Callithrix jacchus: one gene and its partners. Each later gene encodes a partner of the first gene's protein in a complex. Links are inferred from orthologs where the notes say so. Each region holds a gene or a part of one and is shown on either strand. Other genes may lie near its edges. The genes, in order: CUL7, CCDC8 and OBSL1.

Region 1 (3,743 bases):
AGACATGGGATGTTCAGAGAGCGTGGCCTGTGCAAACAGTGCTAGCAGAGCACAGCGGCTATCAAAATCCAGGTGTTTCTCAATGGCTTCTTGTTGGCTCAGTGACAGAAGGATCTGAGTCCGGGTCCCTGTAACCCACACCCCAATCGGTAACTTCTCCCCAACCTCACCCTTCCTAAAATCTTGGACCGTCTACTCTTTCAATCCAATCCTTTTGCCACCACACAGTGGGAAATCATTGATTTGCTTCAAAAGTTAAAATTTGCTAACTTATATACACACACACAATCTGCAATAGTCTAAATTCTTCCTTTGCATAAAAAGTAACTAATTAACATGAGATTTTTGAAGATAGGGTTTCCTCTTTTGGCAGATACCCCCCGCCCTCACCCCCATTCCCACCTCCTTTTCTTCCAACTCTAAGAGAAGGGCAACAGAATCATTTACGTACTGATGAGATTAGAGGCTCCTGCCACAGTGTCCTGTGAGTCCCTGAGCCGACCCAGCCCTTCTGCTTTCCCTTCCTCCCCACACTGCCCCTCACCAGCATCATGGGAGGACAGGGCTTGTATCATCCGGCCTGCGCTCCAGCGAATCTGATAATCGGGACTACTCAACATGTGCATGAGCAAGTCCAGGACCCTTGGGTCCTTGAACACCCCAGTGAGGGGCTCGATGCTGGCATAGGCGCTGAGCACGTGGACAGTGTGAAGTAGAGGAGCAGGAGGGATGGTGCCCACACACTCCTCCAGCTGCCGAAGGGCTCTCTGAATGAGGGACTTCACATCAGTTTCCATCTCCTCCAGTACAGATTTGTCCAGGGCCCCAACCTCCCCTGCAGACTGGGAGGGCCTGATGACCTGGCCATCCTCGCCCAGCATCTTGTGGCAGTTGGCATATATCTCATCCTTAGACATCCACAGCAGGATATGTTCAGCCTTGCAGTCCACTTGGCCAGCGACCCCGTCCCCATCATCGCCACGCCGCAGGATGAGCCAGCGGATCTGGTACTCAGGATGCCCATCATGGCCCACTCGCTGGCGGATCAGCTCATCAGGATAGGCATGTAAGCCAGGCCCCAGGGGCACCCTGAATTCCCTGTAGCGGAGTTCCCCCACCATCCTGGCACCTGGAGCACACAAGGAAGAGAGAACAGACAAGCTAGAGTAAGGAGAGGTCAGAAAAATCAGACATCCAGGAGTTAGGGAAGCAAATGGCAACAGCTGTCGGGCAGGGTGGGGTAAAGCCAGGCCCAGGAGTTGCATGCTGCACGCTGGATGGGGGCAGGCCTAAGCAGAGAACACGGGGGTTGTGTTGTGAAAGAACACAAAATTTGGGGGCTAAAAGGAAGGTCCCCAAAACCCTGCAGCCTGGAGTGGGTGGGTTTGGAATAGTGGGCAGACAGTGGGGGCAGGGCAGCCTTGGAGTTTACAAGTGAATTCCAAGACTTTGGGACAGGCAGCAACCCTGGGGGCATGTGAAGCCCAGAGGGGTAGATTTATGGGGGGCTGGGAAGGAGATCGCGAGTGTGTGTGTGGAAAAGGGTGCTGTCTCTACGATTGGAACATGGGAGTGTGAGTCGCAGAGTTAAGAGACCCGAGAAATGGTGGTTGAGGGCAAGGCGCGATGGGCTGGAGGCACCTCTGACTGGAGCAACCGGAGCAAGAGGGCTGGTGGGGGCGCTGTGAGACCCAGGGCAGGGTGCACAGGAGAACAGGCAGGGGAGGGGCGCGAGGCTTGGGGGACCGAGGTTGGAGACCCGAGAAGCCTGGAACGCGCGCTATAAGGTGGGGGAGAGGGGCTAACTCCCATAAACTAGAACCCCGAGACACGGTGGGATGCGGGGCCGAGGTCAAGTGAGCGCGAGGATCCACGGGCAAGTGGTCAGGGGAGGAGCAAGGGGCCGCAGCGGGGCTCTGGCCACCTCAGAAGTCCACCGGGGTCCTGACGCGAGGCCTGTCCTTCACAGAGCAAGGGACGCGGCACAGACGCTGACGACGAATTGGGTCCCACCTGGGCCCCGCGAGGGGATCCAGACGGAGAGATCTGAGGGGGTGTGCCTCTGCGGAACAGAACAGCAGCGCCCGCGTGGGTCGGCAGCCACTGGGGCAGGGTGGGGCCTGGTCCCTGCCAGTGACTCCGCCTGCCAAAAGCCACGGCTCATTTCCGCCAGACCCAGCGGAAAGCTAGGGGCCCTGGGAGAGCGCTGGGGCGGAGCTGCGGGTGCCACCTTGGCGACGCAGCACCTCCTTCCCTGCGCCGCCCTTTCCTCTTCCTTTTTGTCCTCCCTCCTGCCGGAAGTGCCCTCCCCGTTTCCCAAAGTCAGAACTGGAAAAGGCCTTGGACGTCACTAATTTCCATCCTCGGGCTCCATTACCTGTAAGGGAACTGGGGTGGGGGCAGACCCACAGTGTCCTGTCTTTATCTTCCGACACTTTTTACTGCTTCTCCCCACATTCTGTCTGTACCATCCCCTCCCCCGCAAAAAACAGTAACAGATAAAAACAGGAGGTGGGGCATTTTATTAGAGTACAGGGATATCAGCTTTGGGCAGCAGCAGAAGGCAGCTTCACATAACTCTTCATGGGGGGTAGTGGCCGAATCTTTCGGCCAGCCCAGCCCCCCTTGCGGTGCCATCGCCCACTGTTAGGCCTCTTGCCCAGCCAACGGTTGCGCCCTGCCTTGCCAATAACCCGTTTGTTATGATCAACGTTGGATACTCGACCTACTGTTGCTATGCACGTTTCCAGCACCTGACAGAGAAAACAGATGGAGAAGAATGTACGATGTGGGGGCAAGATTTGACAATGTTTAGAGCACAACCCTTGGGGGGCGTCTTAGACTCAATGAGAGAAGGGAGAGGAGAAAGAAAAAGCACAAGACGGGTGAAGCTAAGTGAAGGTCCTACAGGAGGAACAAGGTAGTTGAAATCGAAGAGCCGGGTGCACTGACTCACGCCAGTAATCCCAGCACTTTGGAAGGCCGAGGCTGGAGGGTAACTTGAGCCCAGTTTGAGACCAGCCCAGGCACTATAGTGAAACCCCATCTCTACAAAATAAAAACTATTAGCCGGGGCCAGGTGCAGTGGCTCACACCTGTAATCCCAGCACTTTGGGAGGCCTAGGAGGGCAGATCGCTTGAGCCAGGAGTTCAAGACCAGCCTGGCCAACATGGTAAAACCCTATCTCTATAAAAAATATGAAAATTAGCTGGATGTAGTGGCATGTGCCTGTAGTCCCAGCTACTTGGGGGGCTGAGGCAGAAGGACTGCTTGAACCCAGGAGTTTGAGGCTGCAGTGAGCTATGATTGTGCCATCGCACTCAAGCAATAGAAACCCGGTCTCAAAAAAATTAATTAGGGTTGGGCATGGTGGCTCAGCCCTGTAATCCTAGCACTTTGGGAGGCTGAGGTGAGCAGATTAAGGTCAGGAGTTTGAGACCAGCCTGGCCAACACGATGAAACCCCATCTCTACTAAAAATACAAAAATTGGCCAGGCGCGGTGGCTCATGCCTATAATCCCAGCACTTTGAGAGGCCGAGGTGGGTGGATCACCTGAGGTTGGCAATTTGAGACCAGCCTGACCAACATGGTAAAACCTTGTCTCTACTAAATATACAAAATTAGCCAGGTGTGGTGGCCCATGCCTATAATCCCAGCTACTCAGGAGGCTGAGGCAGGAGAATCACTTGAACCTGGGAGGTGGAGGTTTTGGTGAGCCGAGATCATGCTATTGCACTCCAG
Region 2 (3,733 bases), on another chromosome or scaffold:
ACCACCATGCCTGGCTAATTTTTTTGTATTTTTAGTAGAGACAGGGTTTCACCGTGTTAGCCAGGATGGTCTGTCTCCTGACCCCGTGATCTGCCCACCTCAGCCTCCCAAAGTGCTGGGATTACAGGCCTGAGCCACTGCCCCCGGCCGAGCCCGGCAAATGTTTGTATTTTTTTTTTTTTTTTTTTTTTTTTTGTACAGAGGAGGGATTCACCACGTTGGCCAGGCTTCTCTCGAACTGCTGGCCTCAAGTGTTTGTTCCACCCGCCTCGGCCTCCCAAAGTGCTGAGATTACAGGTGTGAGCCACCGCCCCGGGCCATGAACGTTTAGGTTATTCATCCACTCAAAACTATGCATTGAGCCCCGACCTTGTGCCACGCGCCACAGTGGGACTGTTGCAATAAGAACCTGGTACCCATTTCTCTACCCACGTGTGTGGGTGTACGGGTACCGATGGTCGCGTGAATTTAACATGCTCATCTATAGTGCCAGTGGCCCTCAAAAGGTCGAATCCACTAGCACAGCCACCTCCGGGGTTTGGCTGGGACTTGTCCATTTCGGAGGGCAGGTCTGGAAACCGCTGCCTTTCAGGAAAGGTGCTGACGTGGGCTACAGCCGCTTCGCTGGGAAGCAATGGGCCCAGTTAGGCCCGGGACGCGGCCACACCCCTGTGGGGGAGGGGAGGGAGGCCGCCCCGAAGGGAGTGGACAGCCCCCCTGTCAGTCTTCCCGAGTCCGGGAGTGTAAGATGAGACGGGGAAGGTGGGCCTCGTTCTAGGGGAAGGCGAGGAGGAACTTCCTGCCCCTGCGCTCCAAGGTGCAGAGCCCTAAGCGCGCGGCCTGGCAGGCTGCAGCGTGTCAAGGTCAGCCTGGAGCTGGGTGGCGGCCTGCCTGGGGGCGGGGTACCCAACTGCGGGGCCCGGCTGAGGCCTCCCAGCCCCTCGGCCATATTGAATAGCCTGGGCTGGACCGTCTTTGTCTGCGAATTCCTCTTCCAAGTTCCAGCCGCGTCCCCGGTGCCTGGGGCAGGAAGAATCGCTGGCAGCTCGCGCGCCCCAACTTGGAGCTGGACCACCACGTTTCCAGCTTGGAGTGGGCCTTGAGCCTCGGGACTGACCTCGCCCCCGCCCACGTAAGCATCCTGGAAATTGATTCCTCCAAGTCCGTGGCAAGGGAGCAGGACTTGGTCAACACTGGACTTGGTACAGGCGAAGAGATAGGAGGCGTGGGCTCGTCCCTGGCCTGGGGAGGAGACTCTCCGATCAGCGTTGCTGGCACTCCCCCGGCCTCCAGTCCCTCCCTCAAGACTGTAGCTTGTTGGGGCTCATTGCCCCCTCACCTCAGATACCACTCTGGAGATCTTAAAGACTCTCGAGAAAAGCCACGTGGGGGGCTGGTTCCCCTGGGGCTTCCTCCCGTCCCCCGACTGCCTAATTCTTTGGAGCGTCCCCGATGTCTGCAAAGATGTGGATTTGGACGTCCTCGTGGAAGCCCTGAAGCCCGTGGGGACTTTTAAGAAGATCGGGAAGGTGTTCCGCAAGGAGGAGGACTCCACGGTGGGGATGCTGCAGATTGGGGAGGACGTCGATTATTTGCTCATCCCCCGGGAGGTCAGGCTGGCCGGGGGCGTCTGGAGAGTCATCTCCAAGCCCGCCACCAAGGAAGCAGAATTTCGGGAGCGGCTGATCCAGTTCCTGGAAGAAGAAGGCCGCACCCTGGAGGACGTGGCCCGAATCATCGAGAAGAGCACCCCGCACCCGCCCCAGCCCCCCAGAAAGCCCAGGGAGCCCCGAGTGAGGAGAAGAGTGCAGCAGATGGTGACTCCTCCGCCCCGGTTGGTCGTGGGCACCTACGACAGCAGCAATGCCAGCGACAGTGAGTTGAGCGACTTCGAGACCTCCAGAGACCAGAGCCGCCAAGGCCCGCGGCGGGGCAAGGCGGTGCGCAGGATGCCGGTCAGCTACCTGGGCAGCAAGTTCCTGGGCAGCGATCTGGAGAGCGAGGATGATGAGGAACTGGTCGAGGCCTTCCTCCGGCGAGAGGAGAAGCAGCCCAGTGCGCCGCCTGCCCGCCGTCGCGTCAACCGGCCAGTGCCGATGTTTGAGGACAACCTGGGGCCTCGGCTGTCCAAGGCGGACAGGTGGCGGGAGTATGTCGGCCAGGTGTCCTGGGGGAAGCTGAAGCGGAGGGTGAAGGGTTGGGCGCCGAGGGCGGGACCCGGGGTGGGTGAGGCCCGGCTGTCCTCCACCGCATCAGGGAGCGCAGGAGTATCATCCGCGCCAGAGGGCACCAGCCCCAGGGATCGCGTGGGAAACGCGGGAGATGCCTGTGCGCCCCAGACCTCCCCCAGGCGATGGAGGCCCAAGATCAACTGGGCCTCCTTTCGACTCCACAGAAAGGAGCAGACAGCATCCACAGGTCAGGGGGCAGACTTCCAGGCTAATCATGGGGGAGAGGCTGCAGATAATCAGAGGGAAGGGGCCATAGCTGACCGGAGGGAAGAGGCCCCAGCTGACCAGGGGCCAGAGGCTGCAGATAACCAGAGAGAAGAGGTTGCTGATAATCAGAGGGAAGAGGCCGCAGCTGACCAGGGGCCAGAGGGTGAAGATAACCAGAGGGAAGAGGCTGCAGATAATCAGAGGGCAGAGGCCCCAGCTGACCAGGGGTCAGAGGCTGCAGATAATCAGAGGGCAGAGGCCCCAGCTGACCAGGGGTCAGAGGCTGCAGATAATCAGAGGGCAGAGGCCCCAGCTGACCAGGGGTTAGAGGCTGCAGATAATCAAAGGGAAGAGGCCGTACATGACCAGAGGGAAAGGTCCCCAGCTGTCCAGGGTGCAGATAATCGGAGGGCCCAGGCTGCACATAATCAGAGGGCAGGTGCCCCAGGCATCCAGGAAGCTGAAGCTTCAGCTGCCCAAGGGACCACAGGGACAGCTTCAGGAGCCAGGGCCCGGAAACAGGTCAAGACAGTGAGGTTCCAGACCCCTGGACGCTTTTCGTGGTTTCGCAAGCACCGGAGAGCCTTCTGGCACACTCCCCGGTTGCCAACCCTGCCCAAGAGAGTCCCCAGGGCCGGTGAGGCCAGGAACCTCAGAGTGCTGAGGGCTGAGGGCAGAGCAGAAGCTGAGCAGGGAGAGCAAGAAGACCAGCTGTGAAGTGGGAGCTAGGGACAGCGCACAGGCCCTCCCTCCGTGTGGGGGAGAGAGGTTGATCTTTCTGCCTCTGAACTTGAAAACGGAGGTGGATGCTGCCCACATCTCCACCTAAGCACCCTCTTTATTCTCTTGTTAAAATCTAGTCTCATGCTTTGATTTTTTTTGTTGTTATTTTTTAGAGACAGGGTCTCACTCTGTTGCCCAGGCTGGAGTGCAGTGGCATGATCGTAACTCACTGCAGCCTCAAACTTCTGGCCTCAAGTGATCCTCCTGCCTCGGCCTCCCAAAGCACTGGGATTACAGATGTGAGCCACCATGTGCACCACCTGATTTTTTAAAAAAAGACTGATTCCTTGTAGCAACCCAAAGAATGTAAGGAAAGAAATCGATAGGATAGGGTGGCATCACCCATAGTTTTAGCTTTCTCAGATGCAACTCAAGGTGCTCAGTTTGAAACAGGAGAGAGGGAGGGCAGGGGGGAAACCGCCTCTGTTTCCATCTCCCTTCGCCTGCACACTTAATGTTGACTGCCTCCTTGGACTTAAAAAGAAGGCTTGAGCCAACATAGAAATAAAACA
Region 3 (3,742 bases), on another chromosome or scaffold:
CCTTCCCACGCCCCACAGTCCGAGTTGCCCCTGCCCGTGGCATTGAGACCTCCTATCTCTGACGTAGATGCCTGTGGCCATGAGCCTTATCTCCCACTCCCGCCAGGAATGTGGGGGAGGGGCTGGAGAGGGTTTCGCCCCAAGCGACCCGACCCTCATGCAAACATACAACCCCTTCTCCCTGCACACATACACACAAACACACACACACACATCCAGAGGGGACATCAACTCCCTATTCACACACACACACACACACACACACACACACAGTCTCACATCCAGAAGTGACATCAAGCCTGGGAGCTGTAGCCGGCCAGCCCCAGAAAGTGTCATTTGTCCAGGAGACAGAGTGCACCACCCCTCAGACCTTCTGGGGCCCCTTTCAATGAGCAGCTGCTGGGCAGGCCAGCCACTGGGGGAAGGGCTGGGGCCAGGGCTAGAACCGGAGCTAGGGCGGGGGCCAGGTGGTCCCGCCTGCTCTATACTTAGCCCAGAGGAGCCAGTCTGGGCTCTTGTCCTCCAGCTGTGTCATCAGAGAATATTTTTGGGATTGGCAGCTGCAGGCGCCTCTGCCACTCAGGCCCAAGCCTGGCGGGCAGGCGGCTGGGGACCTGGTGACTGGAGGTGGGAGGGAGGAGGGGAAAGAGGCCCAAGCTGTGGGAGGGGGCTGGGAAGAGAGCCTCCCCAGAGCAGGAAGCCAGGCCGCAGGCAGAGGAGGCTGCGGGGCCCCTCGCTGGAGAGCCAAACAGGAAGGACTGCCCCCTAAGTGCCGGGCTCTGGGTCAGGGAATCGCCGCCGCCGCAGAGTTGCAGCTCCAGACCGAGGACAGGGAGGCGAGCAGGGAGCGGGCAGCCTGGGAGAACTCCGCGGATCCCCGCGCCCCGGTCCCGGAGCCCTCGCCGCCGCCTCCGGCCTCGGCTCGCCCTCCGCCCACCCTCCCTGGTTCGCCACTGCGGGCGGTCTGTGGCCGCCGCGATGAAGGCAAGCTCGGGGGACCAGGGGAGCCCCCCGTGCTTCCTGCGCTTCCCGCGGCCCGTGCGGGTGGTAAGTGGCGCCGAGGCCGAGCTCAAGTGCGTGGTCCTGGGGGAGCCGCCGCCCGTCGTGGTGTGGGAGAAGGGCGGGCAGCAGCTGGCGGCCTCGGAACGCCTGAGCTTCCTGGCGGACGGCGCGGAGCACGGCCTGCTGCTGAACGGCGCGCTGCCCACCGACGCGGGGGTCTACGTGTGCCGCGCCCGCAATGTGGCCGGAGAGGCCTACGCGGCGGCCGCCATCACCGTGCTGGAGCCGCCGGCCTCCGAGCCCGAGCCGCAGCCCGCCGAGCTCCCGCTGCCGCCGCCGGGGTCCGGGGAGGGCGCCCCGGTCTTCCTGGCGGGGCCGCGGTCCCAGTGGGTGCTGCGGGGGGCGGAGGTGGTGTTGACGTGCCAGGCCGGGGGCCTCCCCGAGCCCACGCTGTACTGGGAGAAGGACGGGATGGCGCTGGACGAAGTGTGGGACAGCAGCCACTTCGCTCTGGAGCCTGGCCGGGCCGAGGACGGCCCGGGCGCGAGCCTGGCGCTGCGCATCCTGGCCGCGCGGCTGCCGGACTCCGGTGTCTACGTGTGCCACGCCCGCAACGCGCACGGCCACGCGCAGGCTGGCGCGCTGCTCCAGGTGCAGCAGCCCCCTGAGAGCCCGCCCGCGGACCCCGATGAGGCCCCCGCGCCCGTGGTGGAGCCGCTCAAGTGCGCGCCCAAGACCTTCTGGGTGAACGAGGGCAAGCACGCCAAGTTCCGCTGCTACGTGATGGGCAAGCCCGAGCCCGAGATCGAATGGCACTGGGAGGGCCTCCCGCTGCTCCCGGACCGCCGCCGCCTAATGTACCGCGACCGCGACGGCGGCTTCGTGCTCAAGGTGCTCTACTGCCAGGCCAAGGACCGCGGGCTCTACGTCTGCGCCGCGCGCAACTCCGCGGGCCAGACGCTCAGCGCAGTGCAGCTGCACGTGAAAGGTACGGCAGCGCCCGGGGCCCGGGGAGCGGCCTTGAGTGTCCTCGGAGGCCCGCCGAACCCCGGCCCCTCTCGGTGCCCGGCGCTGCCCTGAAGACTGGGGGAGGGGAGGTCGGCGGGAATATTAAAAGACCCAACCCGCCTGCCTCCCACTCCCCAGGGATTCGGATTTAGTAGGTCTCCAGGGTGCTCAGCAACTTCTTAGAAAACTCCCCAAGTGATTCTGAGGCAGATGGTGGAACACCACTAAGAAGTGATTGATGTACAAACCTAGAAGGGCCTAGAACTCTTCTCCCCTAGTGGTTTTCATCGTCTTTGTTATTTTACTCCTCCTTCCCCAACTGAATTCACAACCGGAGCCCCAATAGATGAAACAGATAAAGGAGTGTTTTATGGGTGTAAATTGCTAAGTCTACGTGTGTAACAGGCTTCTAAAGCATCAGTGAGAATCAGGAGGCCGTTTTATTGAATATAGGCATTTGAAGTGAAGGCTGCATTCGTGGTTCAGGCTCTGAACCCCGTGGAGAGGGGACGGCCTGGCTGCATCTGTCACCTTGAGAAACCACCGTTTCAGTGGAAAGGTAGACTTGAGGGTGGACAAATTTCCTGAATGTTTTTACTGTTCTTTGATTAAACTGCTCCCCACTTTTGAAAGAAGAGGAAGGTGAAGGAACAATATCCAATAAATGCTTACATTCTCATAAACAGAAAATTCAAAGGGAAAAAAACACACCCCAAACTCACTGGAAGGTAACAGTCTCCATAACAGTATTTCATCACAGTGCAAAGGATTACGCCTTCACTAGTTGTCCAGATTTTTCTCTAGGAGGAAAAACAAAGTTGGTAAATTATCCTGAGTCCTGCCTGGCATGCAGTCAAGCATGTGGCCCCCCCAGGCTGTGGTGGTGGCCTCACTGGTACAGTTCGATGTGCACAGATTCGCCAGGCTGATGTGGATCTGGACCTCCATCAGGGAGGAAAAGCCCTGAGGGAGGGCTAGAGGTGCTTCCCAGAGTTGCACACACAAAAAAAACTTGCTTTTCCAGCAATCTAAGTTAACCTGGTTTCTAACATCCTGTTTTCTTTTTTTTGAAATACACTTTTTTTTTTTTGAGACAGAGTTTTGCTCTTGCTGCCCAGGCTGGAGTGTAATGGTGCAATCTTGGCTTACCGCAACCTCTGCCTCCCAGGTTCAAGCCATTCTCCTTCCTCAGCCTCCCAAGTAGCTGGGATTAGAGGCATGCGCCACAGTACTCTGCTAATTTTGTGTTTTAGTAGAGATGGGATTTCTCCTTGTTGCTCAGGCTTGTCTCGAACTCCCGACCTCAGGTGATCCACCCACTTTGGCCTCCCAAATTGCTGAGATTACAGGCAGGAGCCACCTTGCCTGACCGAAATACACTTTTGAAAAGAGTTAAAATATTTTAAATTCTACTCAGGCCTTTGTGGAATATATGAAATACCTGGGGGAGTGGGGGCAGGAACAGTTTGGAAATCACCAATGTGGTCCAACCCTTTCCCTCTCTGTTCCCATTTTCCAAGTAAGGAGACTGAGGCTCAGAAACATTGAAATGGACTCTCAAGGTGATGCGGCTAGTAAGTGTCAGGCCCGGATGAGAACTTAGGCCATCTTAGGAACTACCACTTGCCTTCTGGTGGTTTTCTGTGATTCCACTGTGCCTGCTGGCTCTGCGTGAAGAGCACCCAGCCTGAACTAATGCGCTCTGAGGAGTCCTCCTCCTAGTCTAGCCCTT

Evidence for each region.
Region 2: CUL7 (region 1) and CCDC8 share a complex: the UniProt entries of both Homo sapiens proteins name them as parts of the 3M complex. The link is inferred for Callithrix jacchus from reciprocal best matches to the Homo sapiens genes CUL7 and CCDC8.
Region 3: CUL7 (region 1) and OBSL1 share a complex: the UniProt entries of both Homo sapiens proteins name them as parts of the 3M complex. The link is inferred for Callithrix jacchus from reciprocal best matches to the Homo sapiens genes CUL7 and OBSL1.

Annotation. Positions count from the first base shown.
Region 1 is NC_133505.1:51,531,336-51,535,078, forward strand, and holds the start of CUL7 (cullin-7), read right to left. Parts: upstream 2,169-3,743; 5' UTR 2,165-2,168; coding exon 2,014-2,164; exon of another isoform or gene 1,925-2,013; intron 1,130-1,924; coding exon 452-1,129; intron 129-451; coding exon 1-128. Other genes in the region: MRPL2 (large ribosomal subunit protein uL2m), read right to left, coding at 2,541-2,753. UniProt on the Homo sapiens protein: Core component of the 3M and Cul7-RING(FBXW8) complexes, which mediate the ubiquitination and subsequent proteasomal degradation of target proteins. Core component of the 3M complex, a complex required to regulate microtubule dynamics and genome integrity.
Region 2 is NC_133523.1:40,426,942-40,430,674, reverse strand, and holds the start of CCDC8 (coiled-coil domain-containing protein 8), read left to right. Parts: upstream 1-819; 5' UTR 820-1,562; coding exon 1,563-3,155; 3' UTR 3,156-3,733. UniProt on the Homo sapiens protein: Core component of the 3M complex, a complex required to regulate microtubule dynamics and genome integrity. It is unclear how the 3M complex regulates microtubules, it could act by controlling the level of a microtubule stabilizer.
Region 3 is NC_133507.1:141,311,816-141,315,557, reverse strand, and holds the start of OBSL1 (obscurin-like protein 1), read left to right. Parts: upstream 1-806; 5' UTR 807-978; coding exon 979-1,990; intron 1,991-3,742. UniProt on the Homo sapiens protein: Core component of the 3M complex, a complex required to regulate microtubule dynamics and genome integrity. It is unclear how the 3M complex regulates microtubules, it could act by controlling the level of a microtubule stabilizer.